Diceros bicornis minor: one gene and its partners. The protein of the gene in region 3 purifies or fractionates together with the protein of the main gene of each other region. This does not show direct contact. Links are inferred from orthologs where the notes say so. Each region holds a gene or a part of one and is shown on either strand. Other genes may lie near its edges. The genes, in order: CTNNB1, CUL4A, SOX2 and HDAC1.

The links.
Region 1: the proteins of SOX2 (region 3) and CTNNB1 purify together in Homo sapiens (affinity purification with mass spectrometry; 3 studies listed by BioGRID and IntAct, with this or other methods). This does not show direct contact. The link is inferred for Diceros bicornis minor from reciprocal best matches to the Homo sapiens genes SOX2 and CTNNB1.
Region 2: the proteins of SOX2 (region 3) and CUL4A purify together in Homo sapiens (affinity purification with western blotting; 3 studies listed by BioGRID, with this or other methods). This does not show direct contact. The link is inferred for Diceros bicornis minor from reciprocal best matches to the Homo sapiens genes SOX2 and CUL4A.
Region 4: the proteins of SOX2 (region 3) and HDAC1 purify together in Homo sapiens (affinity purification with mass spectrometry, with the first as the bait; 3 studies listed by BioGRID). This does not show direct contact. The link is inferred for Diceros bicornis minor from reciprocal best matches to the Homo sapiens genes SOX2 and HDAC1.

What each region holds. Positions count from the first base shown.
Region 1 is NC_080741.1:43,546,566-43,553,891, reverse strand, and holds the start of CTNNB1 (catenin beta-1), read right to left. Parts: upstream 3,291-7,326; 5' UTR 3,126-3,290; intron 1-3,125. UniProt on the Homo sapiens protein: Key downstream component of the canonical Wnt signaling pathway.
Region 2 is NC_080748.1:86,944,985-86,952,458, reverse strand, and holds the start of CUL4A (cullin-4A), read right to left. Parts: upstream 3,154-7,474; 5' UTR 2,928-3,153; coding exon 2,780-2,927; intron 2,403-2,779; coding exon 2,287-2,402; intron 1-2,286. Other genes in the region: PCID2 (PCI domain-containing protein 2), read left to right, coding at 3,348-3,383. UniProt on the Homo sapiens protein: Core component of multiple cullin-RING-based E3 ubiquitin-protein ligase complexes which mediate the ubiquitination of target proteins. As a scaffold protein may contribute to catalysis through positioning of the substrate and the ubiquitin-conjugating enzyme.
Region 3 is NC_080754.1:41,644,151-41,650,284, forward strand, and holds SOX2 (transcription factor SOX-2), read right to left. Parts: upstream 2,272-6,134; 5' UTR 2,001-2,271; coding exon 1,038-2,000; 3' UTR 772-1,037; downstream 1-771. UniProt on the Homo sapiens protein: Transcription factor that forms a trimeric complex with OCT4 on DNA and controls the expression of a number of genes involved in embryonic development such as YES1, FGF4, UTF1 and ZFP206. Binds to the proximal enhancer region of NANOG.
Region 4 is NC_080752.1:47,050,611-47,058,640, reverse strand, and holds the start of HDAC1 (histone deacetylase 1), read right to left. Parts: upstream 3,124-8,030; 5' UTR 3,067-3,123; coding exon 3,018-3,066; intron 1-3,017. Other genes in the region: tyrosine-protein kinase Lck, read right to left, coding at 6,568-6,770. UniProt on the Homo sapiens protein: Histone deacetylase that catalyzes the deacetylation of lysine residues on the N-terminal part of the core histones (H2A, H2B, H3 and H4).

The DNA of each region.
Region 1 (7,326 bases), on a different chromosome or scaffold from region 3:
TTTCCTTTTGTGAAACCTGAGAAATATATATTTATTTTAGCCTATTAACCTAGTTAACTATCACAGTCACAATTACAATAGTATTACATAAACAATAGTCTGTTAAAGAATGAGAACTGATTCTGCAATCAGTATCCTCTCAACGAGGGTACAAGAGGCAATAGCTACATGGTCTGGACTAATCAGAAGCAGCCTCCTCGTCTATATTTATTATTTACTTTTATGGTATAAAAATGTTTTCAGTCAAGCTGTTTCAACAAAGATATTGTATTCCCAATAAAAAGAGGGCTACAAGAAAACAACTAGGTGAATACAGTAATGTTTTCAAAAACAATGTCACAAGTCAACATGTAGCACTACAAAAGAGTTGCTGATAGTTTTTATTAGAAGTTTGTCCTGCTCTAAAAGCATTCAAACTTGCTGCCCTGGGTTAGCAATCAAGCGTGCTTCCAACCAAGCTCAAAGTACAAACTTAAAATTTACCACCTACTCATCTACAATTATGGATTATCAGCAACTAGTAAACCACGAAAGAGAAACAAAATCATGTTATAACTGGACAGATGAATTGTTTCATTTCAATAACATAAAAGTTTCATTTGGCTAACTATACTTATGTAGACCATTTCTGGGGTTTTATTTCACTGCTAACTTATAATAACTATAAAAGAGTGATATTCAAACTTGAATTCTCCACATCCCTAGTTTCAACAATACTTATGCTCCTCTTCTCACCCCTCCCAACAATAAAAAAGGATATCTGCAGATAGTTTTCCTAAGCATCACATCTCAATACCCTTAGACAAATCTGCCTACTTCATGTTTTCCTTCCTATTTGGGGAGGGGGCAAAGGGAACTGTCTATGAAAACAAGCATACAGAACTTTATTTATATGGACAAGTTTTATTTCAGTCATCACAGTAGAAAGCTCAATTCATGGTTTGATAAGTTTTAATACTGGAATACACATTTTTCTACATAATCTTGGTAAAGGAAGTAGTCAGCAATTAGTTCATAAGCAACAAAACTCTCGAATGCTTCTTGACATTTGAACACTGTTAAATGCTTCACTTTTTTATTAACCACCTTATTTTTAAAAACTTGGTTTTTCCTGAAAGCTATTTAAAATGACTGCTCTGGCCTCCAGGAAAATCTCAGGCCTAGGACTCCACAAGGACTCTAAGTTTTGTGCTATACTAAACTTTCCGGTGCCGGTTTTTATTCCCCCCTCAAGGACTTCAGACTTGAATAGTCTCAGCATTCCTTTAATCCTATAGAATGGTCTTCTGCAAGTTTTTCAAGTTACTGTTGCAATCACTTTAGGGCCTCGTCCTTGTACATGGCCTTCAGAACAAAGACTAGGTCAAAGTAATGAATATTGGGTGCAAATTAATCAAATTTTGTATAACGATACTCTCAAATAAACCTTAATGGTATTTTTAGTCCAGAGACTTTGAGTTTAAAAAAAGTAAAATGAATGGAGCAGAAGCCTTAGTTCAGATCAAAAAAAAAAAGCCTCCAAAGTAGAAGTTTGTCACTAATTTAAGCAGATACTAAACAACGGCATTATGTAAGTAACATTTCAAGCTATGTCTAATATTTCTTAGGACGAAAACAAGTTAACACAAAGATATCTGAAGGTAGTGAATGTTCACCAAGTGACAATAATGAAACGGCTTCCTAAATGCCAAAATATTTTATAACTTAGCGATCCGAAAAACATTAGCCTAGACTTATCAAAGGACAGCCGTCTCTTCAAGTTGATGTCTAGTCTAAGCCACCGCTATTCATGACACAAAGCTCTCATTTCACTAAAACCACTCCTCGATTTCCTTTTGCCGACCTCTGCATACCAGCAGGCCGGTCTCTCTTCATTCACCACTCACAAGCTCCGGGGGAGGGGAGACCACAGATGTCTGGAAGATACAAAGTATAAAACAATGCTCCCTCCAAAAGGGAAGAGAAAACGAAGGAAACAACTACACCCAACTGCCAAAGCTTTCAAGTTTAGCGGATTCAAAAGCGGCCTGTGAGAACTTCGAAAGTCTCTGTTCAAAGTCGTCTCCCCAGACAAAACACTGGAGGAAGCTGCAATGCTTGAATTTCATTTCACCAATTTCGTGGCGAGGGAAAAATTCACTCCGCTGAAAAGAAAACGTGCTCGGATAACCAAGTTTAGCTGCCATAAAAACTATCTGAATAAGTAATTTCTACGAACAAAATTCGCAAAGCAGTCAGAGGCTGAATTCCCGAGGTTCGCTCGATAAGAAACAAGCAAGTTGGCCTGGCCCCCCAACCCTTATTTTTAGTAGGGTCTCACACCCATCGCGGTAAATCCAGAAGACTCCAGTACACTGCACATCGCCGCTGTCCCTCAACTGCACGGTACAAGAAAAAATAGGTGCAAGACAGGGATTTTTCTGTGTGCAAACCCTACTGACGCATCGCACTGTCTGCACTAATAGTTTGAAGGTTTAAAGTTGCTTCCATTTAAACAAGCGCCAGTGCCAAACTCACATAGGCAGGGCGTTAAAAAAAAAAACACAATTCTCTTAAGAATTCCCTTAATTCGTCCTTAAGAACGAAAGAGGGAATCTGGAGAGAAAGTCCACTGGCCCTATCCGCAAGGCAGATGGGACCCAGGGTGCGTCCCAGGCCCAGCGACCGGACCCCAACTCCCCGCTGAGGCTGGAAAGGCGGAGCCCCCCGTCCCCACCCCGCCCCCCACCTCGGCCCCGGCGCATCCCGAGGCGCAGGGTCCCTCCCCCAAACTCGGCCGCGACCGGAGCCCCGGACGAAAACCACAGGCCCCCCGCACCGGCCATCCGAGCTCCTGGACGCGCCCTCGCGGCGCCCCTTCCCCGCAAGCGGCGCCCCCGGGGCCCCCGAGGCGCAGCGCTACCGGAACCCGGGCCCTGCCGCCGCCCTCCGCCCCCCGGGCGCGGCCCGCCCCCGCCGCCTCCCTGGCGCCCCCAGCCAGCAACCCCTGCTTCCCAACCCGGGCCCCACGGCTGCGCCGAGCCGGGCTCCAGCTGCCGCCGGGACCGCGCGCCCGCGACGAAGTTTAGCTCCGAAGAGAGAGCGGGAGCAGCCCCGGAAGGGTAAGGAAAGGAGCGCCCAAGCACCTCAGGGGAACAGGCTCCTCCCGCCGCGGGAGTCCGACCGTCCTCGGCCTGCAGTGGCGGCTCGGCGGGGACCGGAGCTGCTCCTCGGACCTTCCTCCGTCTCCGCCTCCCCTCGCTCTCCGCTCTCGGGAACCGGCTAACGCGGCTGCCACAGACCGAGAGGCTTAAAATGGCGCCGCACAAGGAGCTCTTATAAGTCGCGCAGGAGCCGCTGTATCCTGCCGCCACCGGCGCAGCGCGGAGCGTTCCGCCGCGCGAGGACAAGGGGCGGGGCGCGGGTGGACGGGGGAAAGTAGTCCCCGCGCCGCCGAGCCGGCTGCCGCCGTCCGAACGCCCCGGGGCGGGGCGGGGCGCCCGCGCGCTGCCCGGACGCTCTCCTAGGTAGAGCCCCGCGGCTCTCCCACCGGTCGGGACTGGAGGGCGGCCTGGGAGGGCACCGTAGTCCGAGGCGGGCGGGCCGCGGCCCCCGCGGGCCGGAGTGGCGTGGGGGGAGGGCGGCACCAGGATCCTCCACTGTCCGGAGCCCGACGCTCCCGCCCCGCGTGTGCCCCGAACCGTGAGAGCCGACGCGGGGCTTGCCACGCGCTTCCCGCCGCCCGCGGGAGGCTGCATCTCGGCCTCGGCCTTCGGGGGCCGCGCGGGCGGTCGGCACAGGCCCTGAGAGGGCAGAAGTTCGGGGCCGAGGCGGCGGCGGCGCGGGCGCTGAGGTCGGGGCCTGCCCCGCTCCAGGCGCTGCTGGGCGCCGCCGCCGCTGCCCCGCTGTCGGTCGGGGGACTCGGGCGGGTTAGGGCTTCTGCCAGCGCTGCGGTCTGGCCACACACTCCCTGCAGGACGTGGCTCGCAGCCCAGCCGCTCACCACCCTAAAGCCCCCCACTGTCCGGATCGTGCATCCCGCATCCTAACCGGCTGCTCAGCCTGAACCTGGGTGAACTACCGGGCCGAGCCGCCTGCTGTCCGCACTCCCGAAGGCTGTGAACTCGCGTTGGAGTGGGCGCCTAGCCCGCAATTCAACAAGTCCTATGAGTACCTACTGTGAACAAATGACTGATGGAAATGGATTAGCTCTAGAGCCCTGTCCGTTAGGTTAATTCTTATAGAGTCCATTTGTGTTTGGTTCCACTGTATTACTAAATATCAATAGGTTTGTTTTTTCTTTTTGTGGGGATTTTTCTTTGGAGAAGGTGCATTTCTACGGTATTACTTATTTGAGAAATCCAAGTATGTTGTTTATGGAAGGAACTATCGATTAGGCAGCTTCTAATTTTTTTAAAACTTATTTTCTGTTTTTCAAAAACATTTTCTAATTCTTTTTAATAGGCTAAAGTTGAGTCTTCATTTCCCTTGGAAATGTCTCCATTGTAATCCAGCAAGATTGGCATTTGTCAAAGCTGAAACAATTATGATCGATTCACTTTCTCTAGCCTATTGTTTTATGCTTATTTTCCCTCCAAAACAATAGAGTACAAAAAGCAACAGTGAAAGTTATCTTGAGGCTTTTATCCCTCTAATTAATGCATGCAAACAATAGGTCTTTATACATAGATACAAGCAGGAAACCTACTTACTCCTTTACTCATGCGGTAGGATATGTAGTTTTCGGTATAGTTAATACTTAAGGGCCAACTTGTTCTTTAAATAATTCTATTTTTTTTCCTGCCTGAAAGATATTTTACTATATACAGTGATAATGTCAACTGCTATCTGTCACTATTGCACATGTGGGCCCCTGCAGTGGAAAAAGTGCACACACGATGATGTTCAGTGAAATCCATTGTCTAAGATGACTTTCTCATTTTTATTTTTGCTAGTAATTCTGTAGAAGTAAGTGTGGCCAACGGTTGTGGTTAACTTGGCTGGACATAATTCAAACAGATTGACAGAAAAAGGTATTTCATCAAAGCACTGTTTCTAATATAAACTCAAAAGTATAAAATGGCATTTCCAGGTACTGATCCCCAATTTTAAAACTCATATGCAGAGTTAAAGAATATACAGTAGATTTAAGTCATAATGTAAAATCAGATTAATTAATGTTAGAGGTTCTTTTTGTATGGATATTTCCTTTTTCTATGTTTGGTTTTTTTTTTTTTTTTGCTAAATAAGGCACACTTAAATCAAGTTAAGAAATATTTGCACCATTAGAACCTCTAAAAGATAAAAAAACTCTTCTATATTTGTATTTCTCTATTCAGATGCCAAAATAATTGAAACGTTTTTCTGTAATTTAGATATCTTAATCTAAATTTAGAATTAAGATTTTTAAATCTATAATAATACTTTAAGCAAACACATGTTATTAAAGGAAATGTAAAATTTGCAACAACGCAGCAAGCTGTTTTTCCTGTCAAATTTAAGTGTACTGAAGAATTACTGGGTGACATTAAAACAAATTAGTTGAATTTAACAAATTGCTCAGAATTTTTATTTGCTTCTCAAAAAACAGAAATTGTTCCAATTGTCTCATCAAAAATATGAGATGAATAACTTGTGTGAAGTGAAGACAGATATTGTCATTAAACCAAGGAGAAATATAAGCATCAAAATACCTGATGAGTGGGTGAAATAAGTGATTTTGTAGAAATGATTTTAAAAAATTGACCTTGGGCAATACATTTCATAAAAAACACTGGGTTATCTTTTTACACCTTTTCCTTCTAGAGTCAGCCACTTGGGTGTGACCTAAATTAATCCACTTTGTGAAACTGCAAAAGACAAATGGTTCTAAATTTCAAGCTGTGTTCCTAGAAACCAAAGTGTCTCCAGCTGGGTTAGCGGAGGAGGTATTGCTTGTCATGATAGCAGACCATTGTCATATCAAGCAGGGGCTACATGGAACCTGAACGTAAAGCGTCCTTCACAAAAACACATGCTTTTAAATCACCTCTAGGCAAAGAAATAAATGCCCGGATTGTTATTGCACTTCCTACAGAAACATTAATCAAGCCAGTACTGTAAAGAAGGTCCGTTCACTTTTTGGATAGTTAACTTTATCAAATCCATTAATTAAACATTTATTGAGCACTAAGACAATGAGCTCCTTTAGAGAGAGGGAAATGGAAGACTGGCTCCTTTTGATTAGGTCCCTTAAATTAATGTATAATTGTAATTGTTAATCAACCCTACTCGAACGTAAACAGAAACAGTAGAAAACAGTGAGATGAGGGTGTGGTCTCCTCTGGACTCAGTATCTGAATCTCCTTGGGAAGAATCCTCTCCCAGCAGAAAGGTAAGACTAAATAATATTCCATGCATTTATAAACAATAGATCCCAACTCTCTAAGAAGGCCTATTAAAAATATTTCTTTTTGACAACCTGAAAACACTGGACAATAATCAGGATCAGCTTTTCATTTAGCAGCATATCAAGTGGGTTATTTATGGATTGGGACTTTTGATTTGCAATACATCATCTCAGGGTTCAGTGTTATCTTTTGATTTGTTTCCAGCTGAACAGGCTAAGTAGTTGTAAATACCTCTTGTCAGACTACATGGTTGGCTATTCTTGCACACAGAAGTAATCTAGGAACCCACTGGGCAAATTCGGCAGAGAGGCACCGTGGAAAGCTTGCATCTAGTGTGCACTGCAGAGTGAGGGAGGGGCAGTGAAGGTGGTGGGAGGCGATGGCCATGGTGGTGGCAGTGGCAGCAGCAGTGATAGTTTTGTTCATGGCCGCTGTGGTTATGCCAGCAACACTCTTCATACTTGGAGTTATGTGTTCTCCAGGCCTTCATTGGTTTGACACAGCAGTCATTGCCATACTAAGAAAGTACATTTTAATGGCTACCATAGATAGTGTGAAGGAGAAGCAATGGAGACATCATCCATGATATTCATAGAACACAAAGGTATATGTTTCTAAGAACTAAGACAATTACCGCTGCATTGCTAAGAAATCATGCTTTGGAGACATACCCCCCAACGTACATACACACACATGCACAAACACCTCTCTATTAAAAATTTCAAAATGGTTGCAGATACTTCATTCACAAGAAGGTTAAAGGCGTTTCCCAACGCAAGAAGGATTAACTTACCGGAGGATTCTGGGACTGCAGATGTATACTGCGGCAAAATCCTAAATTCATCGAAAAAAATCATTTCTGGACTCCAGCTGCTAAAAATAATAGAATTATAGTAAATCATGGGTAAGATTAAAACAAGCCATTTTCACATCCCAAAGTGTTCAGAAAAAAAATGAT
Region 2 (7,474 bases), on a different chromosome or scaffold from region 3:
GGGAAAGACAGAACCTGGGTTTCACCTCACAACATATACAGAAGTTCACTCCAGACAGATTACAGACCTCAGTGTAAAACCTAAAACCCTAAAATGTCTCTAAGGAAATACAAGGGAAAACCTTTACCACCTGGATTAGGCAAAGATTTCTCAAATAGACACTAAAAGCAGAATCCATAAAAGACCAAACTGATACACAGACTTCATCAGAATTTAAAACTTCTGCTCTCTGAAAGACAGAGTTAAGAGAATCAAAAGATAAGCTGTGGACTGGGAGAAAAATGCAAGACCAATATCTGGTATAGGACTTGTACCCAGAACACATAATAAACTCAAACACTCCTTAATAAGAAACTAACCCCATAAAGTGTGTGCGCTCCACTGCTGGCGGCCCGGGGTTCGCAGGTTCAGAGCTCGGGTGCGCACTGATGCACCACCTGTCAGGCCATGCTGTGGCAGTGTCCCACATAAAGTGGAGGACTATGGGCACGGATGTTAGCCCAGGGCCAGTCTTCCTCAGGAAAAAGAGGAGGATTGGCAGATGTTAGCTCAGGGCTGATCTTTCTCGCGGGAAAAAAAAAAAAAAAAAACTAACCCCATAAAAAAATGAGCAAAACATTTGAACACACACTTCATTAAAGAAGGTATATAGAATGGCAATGGGCACATGAAAAGATGCTGAATATTATTAGAGAAATGCAAATTAAAACCACAACAGAATTCCACTAGACACCTACTAGAACAGCTAAAATTAAAAAGACTGACAATAGCAAACGTTGGCAAGGACGTGGAACAACTAGAACTCTCATACACTGCTGGTAGAGATGCAAAATGGTGTAGCCATTTGAAAAACAGTTAGGAAACATCTTATGAAGTTAAATATACACTTTCCTTGTGACTCTGAAAACCCACTTCTAGATATTTATCCATGAGGAATGAGAATATATGTCCACACAAAAACTTACTTGTTAATGTTCACAGCAGCTTCATCCATAATAACCTCAAACCGGAAACCCAAATGCACATTAACTGGTAAAAAGATAACCAATTTGGTGACCCATACTGCCCACACCAGCAACAAAGAACAAATTACTGTCACACGGCGCATGAATCTCACAAGCACTATCTTAAGTGAAAGAAGCCAGATACAAAAGATTGCAAAGTGTACTGTTCCACTCAGATGAGATTCTAGAAATGGTGAAATATACTGACAGAAAGCAAATCAGGGACTGCCAAGGATTGGGAGTCAGGGCAGAAGAGTGAATTCCAAGAGGCCTCGGGGAACTTTTTGGGGCGATGAAAATATTCTCTACCTTGATTATGGTGGTAGTTATACAATTGTATACATTTGTTAAAACTTATTGAAGTATATGTTATATGTAAGTTATACCTTAATAAAGTTGATCAAAAAACATAATAAACTCACATAAATTTAAAACAAAGAAGGGAGGTATATCCATTAAACTGTCAATAGAAGTCTTCTTTGGGTAGTGGGAGTATAGGTGATTTTAATTTTCTTCTTTGTACTTGTTTGTAGTTTCCATAATTTTTAAAATGTAATCACTTATGTAAATAGAAAAAAAAATTTAAGCTCAAGTCTCAATTTGTGATATTACATTATTACCTAAAATACAGATAATATTAGCAAACGTTATTCTTTAAAAATAAAATATGAGAAACACCAGACTGCTGGTAAATGTAATATCCAAATAGTAAAATATACTTTTGAGCATTTTTTTCTCATGTTAGAAATGGAACTTCATTACTTTAGGTTAAATGTAACAAAGTCTGTATGTTTTAATTGCAACAATTAATCACAAAACACAACGAAGAGGGGGGAAAAATCTACATTAACAAGTGAAACCGTAACAAGTTTCATATATAACATAATGGAATTATAATAATAATTTGCTGCATACTTGGAAAATGTTAAGAGTCATGTAGCCCGAAAATAAAATAGAAATCCCACAACCCCCACAAAACGAAAACACTGGCTGACTCTGGGGACCTGCTGTCACAGGCCCTCCTGTCCTGCTGGAGGCACATGCTTGGATTTCCATTGGTTCCTTCGCTACTGACGCTGAAACAATCCCGAGAACCAGAGCCGGGGTGTGTATCACACCTCCCTGCAGCTAGATAACCGTGTTACTCAGCCAGCCACAAAACCACCCGGTACGGGAGAGAAAGGACGCCGGCTCCTCCGTCCTGAGGTCCTCCTCGCCAGGACAACCCCGCACTGACAGGTCAGCGGGTTGCGAGCGGCCGGCCCCGCCGCTGCGGGCTCACCTGATAGAGCTCCTCCAGGTTGTACCTGATAGACGTGCTACTCTGGATGGCCTTCACCGCCTCGTGCAGCTTCTGCCAGGTGTCCTGAGTGTAGTTGTCCGGCAACTTCGGTCTGTCTGTAAACGCAGAGAGATCAGCGGGGTCGGGTCCGCGCCAGCAGCCAGCATCTTCCAGACACTCCGCAGAAAAGCCCTCACGGGACACCAGGGCCGGGAGCAGAATCGGGCTTCCCAACACAAGGCACCGCGTTTACACAGTTCCCGGGTGCAGACCAGGCGCCCGCACGCCGCTCCACGCGCCCGGCCACGCACGACCCCGGGTCCCGGGTCACCGCCGTCCCGCCGCAGGGCCGACGCCCCGGGAGGGGACAGCAGGGAGGGGGGATCACCGGAGAGGCCCGCGGGGAGGGCACCGCGGGAGGGGACTGCGAGGAGGGGACCGCGGGAGGGCACCACGGGAGGGGACGCCCCCGCCCGCCCCGCCCCGCACCCACCTCGGAAGTTCTTGATGACCAGCTTCCTGGAGCCGCCGCCGGGCTTGGCGGAGACGGCGGCCGCGGCCAGCGACGCGGGCTTGGTGAGGCCGTTGGTGTGGCCGACCAGCGCCGAGAAGCTGCCCTTCCGCGGGGGCTCGTCCGCCATGGCCGCCGCGCTCCCTCGGCCGCCGGCGCCAACCGCCGCCCCGGCCCGGCCCGAGGAGGCCCGAGGCCCGCGAGCGCGGCCCGTCCGCGTCGGCCACGGGCAGCGCGGAACCCGCACAGTCGAGGGGCGCGGGGCAAGCCCTGTCAGCTCCGGGGGCCCGGGCGCCCAGGGGCGCGGACGAGGCGTCCTCGCTGAGGGGAGGCGCGGAGTCGCGGCCGGACGCCGGCCTGCCTCAACCCGGGCGCGCCGCCATGCCGGCCCGGCGCTCGCGCTCCCGCGGACGCTCTCCCTCCGGAACCGACGTGCGCGGAAGGCGGGGCTGGCGGGGCCGGCGGCGCGGGGCCCGGGACGGACCGCCGGCCGGAAGTGACGCATGGCCGGGCGCGCAGGCGCCGTCTGGGTCGGGCGGCGGGCGCTGCCATGGCGCACATCACCATCAACCAGTACCTGCAGCAGGTAATGCTCGCCCGGCAGGTCGCGCGGGGCGACTCTTCCTCCCCTTGGCCTGCGGGGCCCCGGGCCGGGGTGGGCACTGCGGGCCTGGGCAGCCTGTTCCGCGCCTGCCCTGGCCGCCGGACGGGAGGCCGGGACGACGAAGCGGCAAGCTCACTGGGTGTCCTGGGGCCCCCGGGTACACCCACGGTCGCGGCCCTCAGCCTGGGGACGTGGAGAGGGGTCCGAGCGGATCCCCAAGGGCCTGTTGGTCACGCTCAGGAGCAGGGGCGCGGCCGTTGCGTGGCCGTTGAAGGCCTGACCCAAGGGCCGGACTTCGAGTTTTGTTTCGGATGAACGCTGGTGGACATAGGAGATGGAGATGGCAGGTGGTCCCGCCGCGAGCCGCTGGCCACAGCTGCCGTTTAGTACACCCGCTGTGTTAGCACCTGGTATACTATGGTATCCTGGGGAAATGTCTCTCGCAGGGGTTTTGTCCATGCAGCCTGTAAACGGCAGAAGCATAGTTCAAACATAGGTATTTATGGATTCAAAGCTTGCATTCTTCCCGCTAGACTATGGTAATTCGCAGAACTAGGACCGTGGTCATAAGGATAAAGGAGTGGATTTTAAAAATATCTGAAGGAAACATTACCAGGACTTGGTGATTAAGAACTTGTGGTTGAGGGACCTCGGGAGGAGTGAAGAATGATTTCCAGGTGTCTAGCTTGGACGACAGGTGAGCAGAACAGATTCGGAGGGAAAAGTCAGTTTACTTTTGGACATGTGGAGTTGGAGGTGTCTATTGACAACCAGGTAAAGATATCTAGTTGGCAGGTGAATGTTAGTCTAACATGATTGAGACCATTAGTTGCTAGTTAATTGAGAAAGTTGTTTAAAACGGGAATCATGAAAAAAAACAGATACATGCTTTTATTTTAATTTAAAACATACAGATATACATTCACTTGCCAGTCTTTTGATTGAAGCCTTGTCTTTAAGGATAGGTCTACCTTGGCCTTATCTTTGCAGAGTTAACATTTCCCATATCAGTTTAAAGTTGAACAAGAACATAGACATCTGAAAACCAATTTGAATATAGAATCTCTCTAGAATTTTGTTTTCTCTTAATCGTTTACAATTTTCTTGCCCACACCTAATTCCTTTTTTTTTTTTGGACATTCTGTGTGCCTTGAATGGTGTCTGACCCATGTGGATGCTCAATACAATTTGTTGACTGGATAAATGGAGGCAGATAGGAGGCGTTGAGGCTCGCTTATAGGGCTGGATGGTAAAGTGGAGTGATTCGCCTGTTCTCAGACCTCCTCCCTCAGTCTAGTGAGTAGTAAGGTTCAGACCCAGGCTGGTCTGTCTGACTCTAGGTTTCATATTCTTCTGTTTCACCAAACTGCGTCTTGGTCCTATTCCCTGCATTCCCAGAGGAGCACTCAGAGAATCTCCTTTCTTGTCTGTCTTATGTGGTGAAGCAGTTGGGGTATGATGAGAAGCACAGTAATGATTAGCGCATGTTGAACGCTTAATAAGGACCAGGCGCTGTTGTACGTAGTCATCATCGCTGTTTTTCTCGGAGGTGGGTCCATTGCAAGCCCCATTTTGCATAGGAAAGCAGTGGCTTTCCAAAGTCATTGGCAAGTGTGTTGCACATTGAGACCGGGAGTTCCGGCCTCAGAGTCCATGCCCTTAACACAAAGCTCACTGCCTCTCTTAGCCTAAGTTTTGGCCAACATTTCCTGTCCTAGCTAGAACCTGCCTATTTCTGTTTCCGAATTAAATATTTTTTTGAATCTCATTGACCTTGTCAGCTTTGATACATCTCCATTCCTTATTTCACAGCTTCACCATGCCCACAGCCAGCAGCTGCCTGAAATGCTGTGTCTTTCATTCCCCATGTGCTCTGTGATAACATCCTATTATCTGTTGGGTCTGGAGTTTCATTCTACTCTCCTCATAGCTTAGGAGTTCTCCTGGTAGGTTCTTGGGTACTGGCAGAACGCACGCGATTCCTGGGTCAGAGACCAAGGACTTTAGTACTCAGCATAGCAGGCAGCACGGCAGCAGCATGATGGTATTGCGATGGCCCAGAAGGGCCCCTACACGTGCATCTGAGAGAGAAACATGGAACTTGGGGAACCCACCCATTCTATAGCAGGCTGAAAGCAAGTCTGCTTTCTGTCCAGGGTTGGGGATGGGGGGAGACATTACTTCATTTCTCAAGGTGACCAGCTGCATAAACAGCCCTGAGTAACGGCTCAAGTGAAAGAGCCAGCGGTCAATCCTTGGCAGGGGCAGAGGCCGGAGGAGGCCCTGTTGTCTCTCCCAACACCCAGCTGTAGCTAGCATGTCCCCTCATCTATTTAGTGCTCACAGTGTCAGCAGGCATTCAATTTAGTTTCTGTTTGGAAGGGACAGGTTGAATTCATTTACCTTATATTTTCCCCAGAGGTGGCTCTCTTCATCATTTCTAGTATCTTTTTTTTAGTGTCCTTTATTTCATTCTTTTGTCCATTCCACACACTCTTATTTTACATGGAAAATTACTTTTGTGTGTGTGTGTGTGTGAGGAAGATCAACCCTGAGCTAACATCCATGCTAATCCTCCTCTTTTTGCTGAGAAAGACCGGCTCTGAGCTGACGTCTATTGCCAATCCTCCTTTTTTTTTCTTCCCCCAAAGCCCCAGTAGATAGTTGTATGTCATGGTTGCACATCCTTCTGGTTGCTGTATGTGGGACACGGCCTCAGCATGGCCGGAGAAGCGGTGCGTCGGTGCCCGCCCGGGATCTGAACCTGGGCTGCCAGCAGCGGAGCGCGTGCACTTAACCGCTAAGCCACGGGGCCGGCCCCATTATTATTCTTTTTGAAGCTCAAATTGTCCCAGATTTGGCCACTGGGAGCCCCTTCAAACTGGTTTCTGTGGCTTTTTGACCTGTCTCCATCCTTTGGTCTCTGCCTTGCTTTCTGGTGCAATAATATATTCATTCCAGGCTCACTTAGTTCTTTCCCTGTCCCAGCACTAGATCAGACTTTTCCCCAAGAAGCTCTGGTCCCTTTTAGTGGAGGGTGAATTTAGAAAACAGATATGAGTGCTGGGTGTGCTTATTGCTATCAAGGTATCATTACTTCTAGGCCTTTTCAGTGGACGGAGCTAGTAAATGTATTTTTAAGGAATTAGGAGTTCTAAGAGCAGATGATTCCCCAGTGGATCAGCTTGGAGCCTGGAGGACAGGAGTTGACCAGCAGCAGCCAAGAAAGAGAACTTCCTGAGAGTACCCAGAGCCAGAGAGTTTCACCTGATGACCTCTGCAGTCCCGAGGCCAGGCCCACAGGGGTGCTGTGGACAGTCTCGCCTGGAGTGCGGCCGCATGGTCCAGTGCAAGGTGCTTAAATTAAAACACCAGGGCCAGCCCAGTGGCGTAGTGGTTAAGTTCACATGCTCCGCATTGGCAGCCCTTGGTTCGCCGGTTTGGATCCCTGGCGTGGACCTACACACTGCTTATCAAGCCACGCTGTGGTGGTGTCCCACATACAAAATAGAGGAAGATTGGCATAGGTGTTAGCTCAGAGACAATCTTCCTCACCAAAAAATAAAAAAAATAATAAAAGACCAGAAGTTCTGGGGTGTGACGTATCAACAGTGACTAAAGCCGTGACTGGGTTGCCCATGATGCTAGTGTCCACTGAGGTGCACATCCGTCTTGGAGATTTGATGCGAGTGTGTCACCATCCCTCTGTTTTCCCTCACACCCCGTGACGAGAACTTTGCAGGTTTTCTTAGCTTCCTTGAGGCAGGGGCACCAATGGGACCAATATTTTGTGATTACTCGTAATACATGAAATGACCTTTTGTTTCTTGTAAGGTAGATCCCTAGGAGTGGGATTGCTGGCTCAGAACTTAAGTGCATGTGCAGTTTTGTTGAATAGTCAAGTGGCAAATTCTTTATGATACAAATTATCTTGGAAAAGGTGTGGTAAACTTCCCCAGTCGATGCCCTGAGTGGTAAGCAGAGGAGGTGTCCTTGTGGCTTAGGCCTCCATTTCTTCTGGCCGTGGATGCCTGGGCTTTGGGTTACTGGGCCGGGGAGTAGGTGTGTGCTCC
Region 3 (6,134 bases):
GAAAATGTACCTGTTATAAGGATGGTATTAGTTCAAATATATACATGGATTCTCGGCAGACTGATTCAAATAATACAGAGCCGAATCTTTAAAATACAACTACGGAAAATAAAAGGGGGAAAACCTTAAAATATCACAATAAATTTACAGAAATATTACAAACCATAAGAAAATATTTCAAACACAGTAATTTCATGTTGTTTTTTTATCTGAACAAAATGGAAAGTTGGGAAACAAAAGCTATTATAAATTACCAATTGTGTCAACCTGCAGGCCATTTTTGCTTTTAACAGTAAGTTAAAAAAAATTTAGTACAATCTAAAACTTTTGCCCCTTTAAAGAAGACCACGGAGATGGTTTTGCCAGTGCTTATTCTAATTTTTTCCTTTTGTACAATTTTTAATCAATTAAAATGTCCAAATCTGAATAATTTTCTTCTTTCCACGTTTGCAACTGTCCTAAATTTCAGCTGCAGAATCAAAATTCAGCAAGAAGCCTCTCCTTGAAAAATATTGGCAAATTCTCAGCTTATAAACAATGGACATTTTGATTGCCATGTTTATCTCGATAAATACTGTACAAAAGTTGCTTGCAAATATTAAAACATTTTTTTCGTCGCTTGGAGACTAGCTCTAAATATTATTGGTAAAGACTTTTGCAAACTTTCTGCAAAGCTCCTACCGTATCACTAGAACTTTTAAAAAGTTTTGCGTAGCTTTCTTTCCTCCAGATCTATACAAGGTCCATTCCCTCGCCCTCCCCACCCCACCCCCCCGGTTTTCTCTGTACAAAAATAGTCCCCCAAAAAGAAGTCCAGGATCTCTCATAAAAGTTTTCTTGTCGGCATCGCGGTTTTTGCGTGAGCGTGGATGGGATTGGTGTTCTCTGTTGCAGCTGTCATTTGCTGTGGGTGATGACTTTTTTTTTTTTTTTTTTTAGCGTACCGGGTTTTTCTCCATGCTGTTTCTTACTCTCCTCCTATTTCCCTCGTTTTTCTTTGAAAATTTCTCCCCCACCTCCAGTTCACTGTCCGGCCCTCACATGTGCGAGAGGGGCAGTGTGCCGTTAATGGCCGTGCCGGGCACCGGGCCGCTCTGGTAGTGCTGGGACATGTGAAGTCTGCTGGGGGCGGCGGGCTCCGGCACCTCGGCGCCGGGGAGGTACATGCTGATCATGTCCCGGAGGTCCCCGGCCTGGCAGGGCGCCCTGGAGTGGGAGGAAGAGGTAACCACGGGGGGGCTGGAGCTGGCCTCGGACTTGACCACCGAGCCCATGGAGCCGAGCGCCATGCCCGGGGTGCCCTGCTGCGAGTAGGACATGCTGTAAGTGGGCGAGCCGTTCATGTAGGTCTGCGAGCTGGTCATGGAGTTGTACTGCAGGGCGCTCACGTCGTAGCGGTGCATGGGCTGCATCTGCGCGGCGCCGTGCGCGTTGAGGCCCGGGTGCTGCGGGTAGCCCAGCTGGTCCTGCATCATGCTGTAGCTGCCGTTGCTCCAGCCGTTCATGTGCGCGTAGCTGTCCATGCGCTGGTTCACGCCCGCGCCGAGGCCGGCGCCCACCCCGACCCCGCTCGCCATGCTGTTGCCGCCGGGGGCCAGCAGCCCGCCAGGCAGCGTGTACTTATCCTTCTTCATGAGCGTCTTGGTTTTCCGCCGGGGCCGGTATTTATAATCCGGGTGCTCCTTCATGTGCAGCGCTCGCAGCCGCTTGGCCTCGTCGATGAACGGCCGCTTCTCCGTCTCCGACAAAAGTTTCCACTCGGCGCCCAGGCGCTTGCTGATCTCCGAGTTGTGCATCTTGGGGTTCTCTTGGGCCATCTTGCGCCGCTGCCCGCGGGACCACACCATGAAGGCGTTCATGGGCCGCTTGACGCGGTCCGGGCTGTTCTTCTGGTTGCCGCCCGCCGCCGCCGCGGTGGAGTTGCCGCCGCCGCCGCCGCCGCCCCCCGAAGTTTGCTGCGGGCCCGGCGGCTTGAGCTCCGTCTCCATCATGTTGTACATGCGGGCGCTGTGCGCGGCCCGGCCCGCCGGCGGCCGCCGACCCTCGGCCCGGCCGGGACTTTGGGGGGCCCGCGGGCGGGGGGAGCGGAGGAGGGGAGGCGGGCGGGGGTGTCGGGAGCGCAGGGCTCCGCGAGGAAAATCAGACGAAGAATAGTTTGGGGGAAGAAAAGAGAGAGAGAGGCAAACTGGAATCAGGATCAAAAAAAGCGCTTCCTCCTCTTCTGGCCGATCCCGCCGCCGCCGATGATTGTTATTATTATTTTTTGGAAAGGCTTAAGCCTGGGGCTCAAACTTCTCTCCCTTTCTTTCTCTCTCCTCTTCTTTCTCTCAGTCCTAGTCTTAAAGAGGCAGCAAACTACTTTCCCCCTTTTGCAAACACTCTCTTCTCTGCCTTGACAACTCCTGATACTTTTTTGAACAAGTTAATAGACAACCATCCATGTGACGGGGGCTGTCAGGGAATAAATGGGTTTCCGGCGACCAATCAGCGCGCGGCGGCTCCTCCACTCGAGCCCGGCCTCGCCGCCGGGTTTTGCATGAAAGGGGGCGGGGCCTGCCGCGCCGCCGGGCGCGCGGGGGAGGCGGGGGACGCGGGGAGGGGGAGGCGGGGAGGAGGGGAGGGGAGGGGAGGGGGAGGCGGCTCCCACAGCCAGCCTGCCAGCCACTGAGAAACCTTTGTATCCCCTCTCGCAGCAACAGGTCACACCACACGCCTTTTCGAAGGAAGTGGGTAAACAGCACTAAGACTACGATTTTTTTCTTCCTTAAACTTAATGTGGATTTACTTTCTGGTGCGGGCTGCTGAAATGAGGAAGGGGCGCGAGAAGCAGCTACGGGGTGGGGGCAGGGCAGGGCCGAGTGGGTGGTTCTGGGCGACTGTCCTACTAGTATTTCAGGAAACGGGCCGCGCTGGAGTTGGTGTGTCATTGTTCTCCCGCTCCTCCGCACGCTGCCCCCACGCCGGCCCTCGGCTGCTTCTCCCTCACCCCGCTCTGGCCCTCGCCCCTCTTCCTCCGCGGGGCCCGGCCCTCGCTCGGCCCCTTCTCACTCTGCCCCGACGAGAAGTTAGGACACGGAAAGCTCTGTCCTCAGAACGCTCCCTGCTTCCACGTAGTTTGCTCTGCTGTTAAAATAAATCCTGCTCGGCCTCTGCGGCCGACTCGAGAGCCGAGGCCAGGCCGGGCCTGGGTGAGCTGCCGCCCGGCCCGGCTCTCTGGCGCGGGGACCCGCAGCCTGTCCCCTTACCCCCAGCCACATCGCCCACCAGTCTTTCTCCATTCAGTCGGTGCAAAGGGGATGCTCGTGTTCTCGTCCTCTCCCCATTCTCCTCCTGAGCCTCCCTCAAGGAGGGATTTCACTTGTGCGGGTTGCAAAAGGGGGCTGGGCGAAGAAAGATCCACAGAAGGGCGCTCAGAAGTGCGGGCTATGGGGGAGGGGAATCTCAACTTCCTGGCATCCCACCGCACTGTGTGGAGGTGGCTTGGGCCGCACTCACAAACTCCCTCCCACGCAGAGTTCCCAGGACTCCAGCAGAACCAGCCCTGGCATTTCCTCCAGTGACTTCTCCCGTGGTGGCCGCCTGGCCGGGGCCGCTCGGGTTGGGGCTGCGCTCCGAGGGGGCCCTAGGCCTTGGGGGCAGGGGTGGTGCTCGCCAGGCACAGGTGCAGGCAGTGCAGGCAAGAGGAGGGCGGCCGGGACTGGGGACGGGGGAGCCCAGCAAGGCTAGGGCTGGAGGAGGATGGGATGGGGGCGGGGGTAAGGGCTCAGGAATCCTGCCCGCCCAGGACCCAAGAGGGTAATTTTAGCCGCTCTCCCATTGTCCCAACGTAAAGATTTCAATAGGTAGGCGCTCAATGCGGAGAGCAATGGCAGCACGTCCGTTACAAATAGGTAGTTTTGTTTCTCTTGTTGTCGCTACACGGAGTCAAACAAAGACCCGTCTAAGTTTCCTTCCACTCTCTTGTTGGGATCTTTGTGGCTAAAATGCACTTGACTACAAAGGGGAGGGGGGGGGTTGTGGAGAAAAAACCCTTGATGCCATTTCTTTTTTATAAAGGGCTTAAACCATCAGGGTTACTTATTTTCTTTCTTCTGTAACACTCTCTCCGCCCCCTCCTCCCCTGATCTACCCTTACTCACCCTAAGAAAATGTACTGAATAGTATCTGTCGGCCACGTTCCATTTATTATCTTTACAAAACTGTGCATTGTTTTGTTCCTTACTAACCTTCTTCCCATAACTGCCCTCTCCCCTACCCCGGCCCCCAGTCCAACTTCTCCAATCCCTGCCCTCTCAGGCTTTTCTGTTCTTGTCCAACTCAAGATAACTGTGCTCCCTGGAAACCCAGAAAAGTTGTAAAAGGAATTCTACAGACTTGTCGTAATAAATTATTACCAATCAACCTTCCCTCCCCCTGCAGGTTCTCTTTTTTCTATTAAGTTATGGTTTGTTTTAGTTCTTAGGAACGCGGGAAGTATGAGACTGGCTTTCTCGAAAAGCATCAATATATGGCACTCTTCAAAAGAAAGCAATGTCTTCTGTTTATGCGAGGTGTAATATTAAGCTAAACACGGACCTGGAGATTAGGAAAGAGAAAAGGTTGAGAGGATCTGGAGAAGAGAAGGCGGCCACCGGCTTTTCAGCGCGTATGGTTTCAGAGATGTGGCTGGTGCGCCCCCTACTGGTGGATTCGCTTTTCCAAGACTATTGCTTTTACCTTTAAAAGAAGGTGTTTGGAAATAATTACAGAAAAAAAAATGAGGGGGATGGGAGGAAGATCAAACTAATTACACGTAATCTAAACAAAAGAAAAGTTAACATATCATATAAGCTATGGAATCAATCGTAAGAATTAGATTTAATTTGCTTAACTTAGAAATGTACATATAACCTCTAGATAAGTGGGAGGTTAAACCATGGGAAAAAAATAGGCACAAATTATGAGATTCAACATATGAATGAATTATGATTGTCCAGACGCCACGAAGGGCAGACCAAGCATTCACTTTATGATTGCGTATACATTGGTCTGCGCCTAACTGCATTATTCTGAAAACTAAAAAAAAAGCTTATGGATAATTAAGTTTGAAGAAAAAAATCAGGGAGTTGGTGTGGATAATGGTGGTGTATATGAATTGAAATAAGTATTAATAACGGATGGTTATAGAAGCAAATATTTTTAATCTCTCTGTCTCTCAAGGGGTAGTAAGTAGTAAGAGGCACAAATTTTTCCTTGGGATGATGTATAAAAGCTTTTATACATTCTCAGATGCATGTGTTTGTGCCTGAACTCTATAATAATGCATTTAAGAGGTTAAAGGGGCTGGCTAGGTCTTTTTGTTAATTGCTTTTATCATATAAATAAGCTATGGAAATACATTGCAATTGTGTTATCATTGGTTGCATTTATTTACAGCTTTATTTTAATTAAGCCTGCTGTACTTATCAAGGCAATAAACTAACTGTGGCTGGCGTTTATGCATAATAATGTGCTATGAAAATAAGATTAAAGAAGATGGTGATAGCAGAAACAATTTTCTCATTAGACTTTTTAGAACATATGCATTAAAAAAATCAGATCACCGGCCACTCTATTTCAATCCAGCACCATCACTGGCCCCTAAATATAATAATAACTACAACAATCATAATAGATGACAGAAGCAGCACTGTTTTAGGTTTATAACAGACGGCTACAGGACTAATAACAATATGCCATTGACTCCCAGGGAATCAAAATAAGACTCGGAAGAGGGTGCTTCATCCTCTGAGAATTTAAAATGTTGCCATTGGCACCATTTATGAAAATTGAAAGTGCTTAATCTAAAGAGAGGGTAACATTTCCCTTCCATACACAGCAAAAAGCTGCACACTTTTAGAGCAAGATTAGAAATTATGAACAAAAATGCATAACCCCTGGGATATTCTGATTTGATTTTGTTCTACTATAGGCCCCAGCCCCAAATCCTTAACTGATTAAGTGGAACTCAATTTTATTTACAAATCTCTTGCATTGATATTTCTCTCCTCAACTCCCCTCATCCCTCCTCAAGTACTATATCTGAAGCCAACTAACAATTTTGTGGAGATAGGGGACTGTAGACTTATTTTTTCTTCTTAGTGGCAAATAGAGGT
Region 4 (8,030 bases), on a different chromosome or scaffold from region 3:
TCTTCCTCACAAAAAAAAAAAAAAAAAAAGAGTGGATCCAGCCAAGGCTTAGACTTGGGGAACTAAGATACCTTATCTAAAAGGCTAAGGGAGTACCTGAGGGTAGGGACCAGAGACACCATCATTTTCTTAAGAGTTTTTAACCAGGTTGCTGAAAGACTTAAAAGAAATAATCCTTTTTACTTAGATACTACTTTTAAACTTTTAAAGAGCTTTTCCCCATTTTCATAATTTTTCAGTTTTATAGGAGAGTGAGCTGAGGCCTGGAAGGGTAAAGTGACTTGCCCAATACTGCAAAGCTTCTGAGTGGCAGAGCCAAATCTGAGTCCCAAGCTAGTGACCGCACTGCAAAACTCACAAGAAGTTTCTCAAAAAGAAGTCTCCTTCTCTAAAGACCAGGATCTTTCCACTTTTCCTCTTTTTAAACTGAGTGTGTGGAGATCACAACTGTGCAAACTAATATGGCTACAAAGTCATAGGCTCCAGCCTCAAATGGGCCCTCACCACCGCCCAGCACTCCTTCCAAATTTCTTTTCCTAGCTCCCTCTTTCACAACAGCTATTGAACAGCTCTCTCTCTTCAAGATTCCTACTCTACCAACTGCCCTCCCCGACTTGCAAGAAAAAGACTATTCTCTTACTTCATCTTGAAAACTCCCTCAACTTCCTCCCCACCTTCTCCCCCTCAAACCTACCTACACTTGAACTCTTCCTTGCCACTTACCCTCTTGTCACGAAGGAACTTCCTCTTGAAGGCTGGTGTCCCTAACTGTGCTCTGGTTTCCATCTCACCTGGTCTCAGAAAACTCCATCATTACTAGCCCCTCTCTTATATCTTCAACCTCTCCTTCTCTCTGGCTATTTTCCATAAGAATTTGGAAATTCAACTCTCAGCCACTATACCTCCCCTTTATCAACAACCCTCTCTCTCTGCCCTGGAGAAGCTTCCTTCAAAAAGGGTTCAACCTGATGTCTCCTCTTCCCCCATCCATTTGTTCCTCAGTCTACTGCAATCTAGCTTCAGTTCCAAACCCTGCACAGGAAACAGTGCTTGCCAACACTAGGCCACTCCCTCCCTGTTTTGGCTACTGTAACCCAACACTTTCGGATTCACTTACATCTCTGGCCATTCCCTCTGTATCTTTGTTCATTTAATCAACAAGTATTTATTGAGAGCCTACTATGAGATAGGCACTGTTCTGGGGGCTGAGCATACAAAGGTAGAGAAGACATAGTCCCTTTCCCTAAGGAGTTTACTGTCTGTAAGAAGTATGAAGAAGTAAATGGGCAATTCCAATACACAGTGACAAGCGCTATGACAGAGCATGAAGGGCACTAGACTTTTCCTCAGTCCACTTCCTTAGGATTCCACGCTGGATCCTCTTCCCTTTGCACCCCATACAACTTCTTGGGTGACCACATCCTCTTCTGTAACTAAAATTACCATCTGTATGCTGACGACTACCAAAAATTGCTCTCTTCTAAACTGCAGACCTGAATGGCCAACTGCCTACTGGACACCCAAAAACTCGGATAGCCCCCAGACATATCAACGAATTTTTCTTAAAAAAAAAAAACAGTTATCAACTGACATGGCCTTCAAACACTCTGTATCAAACTGTCCAAACCAGAAACTTGGGATTCTCACCTTCTTCCCTACCCCTGCGTTCATGAATTTAATTTCTGTCCTAAGGTATAAATCTGATTATGTCACTAACCTGCATAAAACTTCAATGATTCATAAGCACCCTCAGAATAAAGTCCAACTTCCTTAGGGCAGTATGCCCAGCCCTTCAGGATCCAGTCCCCATTTACTTCTCCAGCCTCATCACTGGCAACCTTTCCCTGGCCCCTGCTCCCTACCCTCTGCGCTCTGCCCTCAGATCTAGGCCTCAGCCATACTCTACACACAACTGCTGTTTTCCAAAGGTGCTGTCCTCTCTTACCCCTAAACTTGCTGTTATCTTGGACTTCCCTGTGCCAGGCTAACAACTCCTGTTTTTCAGGTCCTAAGAGATGGCACCTCCTTCCCTGACTCCTCATGCCGGGCCGAGCGCCTCCCCTCTGTGCTTTCCTTGATCCCGCCATGATAGTGGAGAGCAGCTCTCCGTCATTGTCTGTCTTCCCCTCCCGACTGAGACGAAGATGGGAAGTGACCTGATCCTCCCATGGCCCCAGCACCTCAACACTCCCTACAACAGAGCAAGTTGGTCGACAGATTTCTGTTACATGAAAAAGTCTGTTTTAATAGGTTGCATCCTTCTCCCTCCAACCCCAGGGGCCCCATTTCCCAGCAGCAACTGCAGGCCCTGCTCGCAGGCGGGGGGAGGGGAAGCCGGTGACCACGAGTTGGTGATTCCCGCAGGACTCTCACCAAAACAGAGGAGGCAGGGAAGGCGCGGGGGAGACCTTTGTCTTCTCAGCAGGAAACATACACCCTTGCAACCTTCTCCATCAGATTCTGCCTCCTCCCTCAGACCCAGCCTCCCCTCCAGGAGTCCCCCTCAGTCTCCACATCAGCCTTCTTCAGGATTCCCCCCCGCCAAGATGACCTCAGGCTTCCCTGGATGACCCCCTCTCTGCCTCAGCCTCTTCCCTCAGTCTCGGCCTCCTTCCTCTCAGCCTCCTCCCTCAGCCCCGGCCTCCTTCCTCTCAGCCTCCTCTTTAAGCCTCTATCTCCTCTCCTCAGCCTCCTCCCTCAGTCCCAACCTCCTTCCTCTCAGCCTCCTTTCAGCCCCGACCTCCTTCCAATCAGCCTCCTCCCTCAGTCTCGATCTCCTTTCCTCTCAGCCTCCTCCCTCAGCCTCGATCTCCTTCCAATCAGCCTCGTCGCTCAGCCCCGACCTCCTTCCAATCAGCCTCGTCCCGCAGCCTCGATCTCCTTTCCCCTCTGCCTCCTCTCTCAGCCTTCCCTCAACGCCCCTGCCTCGCCCAGCCTCCCCCCTCAGATCGCCTCAGCCTCCCTCTCCGGGATCCGGCCGGGCCAGGCCCCGCCCCCGCCGCGAGGCCGGGGCTCACCGTCGTAGTAGTAACAGACTTTCCTCCTGGTGCCCTGAGTCTGCGCCATCTTGCTCGCCTCCCGTCCCTCCCGTCGGTCGGTCCGTCCGTCCTCCCGCCCGCGGCTCCGCAGCGTCCGACCCAGGGGGGGAGGGGGCGGGCCTCCAGCGCGCTCCGCCCATCCCCTCCCGGGATCACCTATAGCCGCGCAGCCCGGGCACCGCTCCAGCCAATCAGCTCGCGCAGGGACGGCCCGGAACTCGGCAGGGGGCAAGGGCAGCCCTGAGAGGCCGCCTAGGGCCCCCTGGGCCTGTACCAAGGTCGACGACAGGGGGGTGGGGGAAGCTGCCCGGGGACCGTACCATTAGTCCCGGGGGAGGAAAGCGGTCTGTAAAGTTCGCAGTCCCTCTTTGGGGTTGGTGATCAGAGGTCAATTTTGTAATTTTACAAAGAATCACCTGAGGCCTATGGGGGAAAAGTGACTTGCACAAGGTCACTTAACTCACAAAAGGGCTGAACCTGGATTAGAACCTGAGTTTGGAGGAGGGAGGGGTAATCTGACAAACGAAAGAAAACTGCTGGAGGCCAAGTACTGTACAATAGTTTTACCAGCGTTATTTCGGTTATCTCAGGCCTCACAACAGCTTTGGAGTAGGGCTTTTTATCCCCATTTTACAGATAAGCATAATGAAGTTCAGGCCTTTGTGACTTGCTCAGAATTGCACAATTAGTAATTAAATTCAGTTTTCAACTGTACAGACTTTTTGAAGGCCTACTATGCACCAGAGGCTGTAACAAAGTAGCAGAACCCAGACTTTCTTACTCCAAAGCCTACCTTCCTGATGCAGTCACCCAGAAGGAGTGCCTTTAAAAAGGAGGAAATTGATTGTCCTCTTCTGGAGCAGGGTTTCTCAACCTTGAAGCTACTGACATTTTGGGCTGGATAGTTCTTTATCGGAGGGGGCTATCCTGTGCACTGTAGGAAGCTTAGCAGCATCCTCGGCCTCTACTCGTTAGATGCCAGTAGCACATCCCCCAAGTTGTGACAACCAAAATTGTCTCCAGACATTGCAAAACTGTCTCCGGGGCAAGGGGGGAGGGGATTGGAGGCAGTGTAGAATTGCACCCCCACCCCCACTCTCCCCTTGAGAACCACTGCACTGATGATCAGTCATCAACTGGTCATTATTGAAAGCTGAAAGACTGAAAAGCACCATGATGGGCTATTAAAATAACAATTACAACAATATTAATATTTAGTGAGTGCTTACTATATGCCAAATAAGTTACTCACTCATGGTCCTATAGTCAATAAGATACATTTTTATTCCTCTTTACAGTTTAAAGAGTGCTTGGACACTTGTGTTCCTCGCTTGGGAACTGCATTGGGGTCATTAATGATAAAGGTAACAGAAGATCTAAGACCGGTCAGTTCTACTATAGAAACAGCAAAGGGCCAGGGCCAGGGAACACACCCTATTCCCAGTTCTGTGTTGCTGCTTCTGTGTTGCTAGGAACCTTTCTGGACCTCCATTTCCCTCTTTGTAAAATGGAGAATGAGAATAAAAAGTTCACAGACTCTATGGCTACACTGTCCAAATGAGGAGGAGAGTGGGGATCAGTTGAAGTCATGGGTGTGGCAGCATTTTATAAAATGTAGAACAGGAATCTCAAACTCAGATGCCTAAGGAGATCAAGCAGGTGATGTAAATGAGTGGATTCATACTATATTATTTATATTAGTTTGATTCTGTCACTTTGCATATTTTCAAAATTGGATTCTTTTTCGCTTTCATAAATAAATATGCATTTCCCCCACCTTTCTTCAAACACACTGCCATCTTCAGGTATCTTTAATTTTCTCTTTTTAATGGAAATGTGGGTGCAAAAAATCATTTCATTTTCCTCTTTATTGTAAGAAAAACAGCACGAGCGTGATAATAAATAGCTACTAACACTTAGTTTAATTGTCTGGGAGCAATAGGGAGTGGAGGAGACTTTGGCAAAGAGAGAGCTCATGCCCCACCTGAAGAGTGTGGCCACTACTCAGCTCCATGAGGACAGGTAAGCCTGACGGAGCCAAATCCTCCTGTTTTTTTCAAGAGAAGGCAGAAATCTGGAGTTTTATGCAAAATCTCACCAGTAGTATAAATTGACTGCTAACTCAGTCTATTTTCAAGACGGCAGTAAGAACCATCCTTTTAAAATATAAGTCAGATCATGTCAGGCTCTGCATAAAGCCCTGCAAAGGCTCCTCAAAATGGCTCCTGCAAAGGCCACAAGGCCCCAGGCCCCATAGGATCTATACCCCTCCCTCAGGCTGTCGTTACCTCTCTGCGGTTGCCAGGCAAGCTTCTGCTTCATGCTGTTCCCTCTGCCTGACAGACCCTCCCCCATACCACATGGCTCAATCCCTCACTCCCTCACCTCCTTCAAATCTTTGCTCGAAAATCACCTTCTCAATGAGATCTTCCCAGACCACCCTCTTTAAAATTGCAAACCTCCCCTAAACATGACAGTCCTAATTCCCCTTACCCTGCTGTTTTCCCTTGAGCACTCATCACCTATAGCATACATATCCTTTACTTCTCTGTGATGTTTACTGTCTGTCTTCCATTACTAGAATGTAAGCCCCAAAGGGGCAGGGATTTTGTTTATTTTATCTACTATATATCCTATGAACCCAGAACCATGCCTGGCACACAGTAGATGCTCAATAAATATTTGTTAAATGAGTGAATTAACTCAATGTTTAAAAACATCTTGAAAGTGAATCAAAACATATCTGAGGCCAAATATAGCCCTTGAGTCCGTAGCTGTAAAAAATGCTAGTGCCCTTATATAATGGGAGGGGGGAGAGTCCTGGGACACACCCACTCCCTAGGAGGTTCTGGGTAATGGTCACCCTTAATCCTTTGGGGTAGTGGTTTGAAGTCCATACAGCAAAGTGTAGTAGCAAGTGACCTCCTCTTGGCCCCCAACATCAGCAGGGCTGGAAAAAGTTTACACATCCCTTATTCTATCTCTCACCCCAATTCAGGGTGACTCAGTTTCCATCTTCTGAATGCTCCTCCCCCCTCCCAAGGAAGAGGAGATGGGAGTGGGGAGCAGAGAGATGTACAATCTTCATCAACAAACAGACATTTATTGAGCTCCTGATGTGTGCCAGGCACCAAGGAGGAGCACATAGAGGTATTAGATAAAGTCCTGGCCCTCAAGGAGCTTCTTGATGACCAGGGGAAAGGAAAAGGGGGCGAGCAGAAGCTGGTGTCAATCACAGGCCTCGCTCCTCTCTCTGGTGGTCTCCGGAAGTGGGAGGGTCCAGAAAGGGACAAGTGTCCAAGACATATATGCACAGGCCACACATGTACAAGACACATGTGCAGAGCCCACACAACTACAGAACCCGTGTATAAGACACGAGAAGTGTGTGTGTCATGCATGGGCGGGATTCACGTGGTGCAGAGTCCGTACGTTCATAGGCCACATGGGTATGACACAAGAACCGTTATCTCCCAGAGCTGGGTTGGCTAGATGGGGGAGGGCTCCAGGCCCCAGCCAGCTAGGCCTCTCAGGGCTGGGGCTGGTACTGGCCCTCTGTGGCTGTGAAGAAGTCCTCCAGCACGCTGCGCAGGTAGTCAAAGGTGGGCCGGTCCTCTGGGCGCTCCTTCCAGCACAGCATCATGAGTTGGTACAGCTCATCTGGACAGTTGTCAGGTCGCACCATGCGGTAACCTCGCTCCAGGTTCTGAATCACCTCAGGATTGGTCATCCCTAGAGGTTAATGGGAGAAACAACATCAAGGCTCCAGACTTTATAATTTTTTTTCCCCCCAAAGCCCCAGTAGACAGTTGCATGTCATAGTTGCACAGCCTTCTAGTTGCTGTATGTGGGACGCGGCCTCAGCATGGCCGGAGAAGCGGTGTGTCGGTGCGCACCTGGGATCCGAACCCGGGTCGTCAGCAGCGTAGCGCACGCACTTAACTGCTAAGCCATGGAGCCAGCCCAAGGCTCCAGACTTTGGAAGCCCACAGACAGGGAAGATGTTCAGAATATTTAACAACTGCATGGTGTGAGCACCAATCCAAAAGGATCTTGGTCTTCGTCAATGGTAAGGCCATACCAGCAGTCCCTGCTAAATGTCAGCAGTTCCACTTGGAGTGTCTGCTATGGCTTGAACACTCAACGACACACATATGTTGGCTGTGAAATCTTGGGTGAGCCACCTTACCTCTTTGAGCCTCAGTTTCCTCATCTGGAAAATGGAATCAATAGTAGCTCCTACCTCATAGAGTTGTTATGAGGATTGAATGAGAGAGTGTGTATAAAACACCGAGTATACTGCCTGGAGAAGAGATGCTACATAAAGAGTATCTGTGATTATTATTATTTGGTGGGGAAAGATGGGGTGGTCAGGGCCCAGGGCAGGATGGAAGCTCACAGCCAGGACAATGGTGAGGCTTCTCCAGCTTTGGGAAGAACCATATGAGATGCTACATCAGGAAGCCAGATGGACCCTGGGCCCCAGCAAAGAACACCCGACATGGGGCAGAGAAGGTTCACCAGGCCCCTCCACAACCCAGAGGAAATAATCTTTGGGCCAGTTCCCACCTTTTGTGATGGGTCCCCTGGGAGGCTCCTAGCACGTGGACCCCAAGAGGAGCTGCTCTGGAGAACTGCGTGGTCATGGCAGAAACATCACTTCCTGTTTCTAAATGACCCATGTGGCCTCTGGTTTCTCCTTCGGTCTCCTGAGAAGAGACTGTGGCAGGCAGTCTCCAAAGACTAAACTCTTATAGGGTCCTAACAAAATGGAAGTTTTGCTTCTACAAAGCTTTGGACCTGACCCTGGTCCATAGAGACCCCACTTCCCCAGGCCGCCCCCAGGAGGTTTCTAGCTATGGGCCCCTCACATTTCAAAATCAGGACACTGGAGGACACAGGCTGGGGAACTAAACACCTGTGGTTAGAGTCCACGGTGCAAACCCATAGGCTACACCCAGCCTAAATATAAACCACAGACCTGCTTTGGTT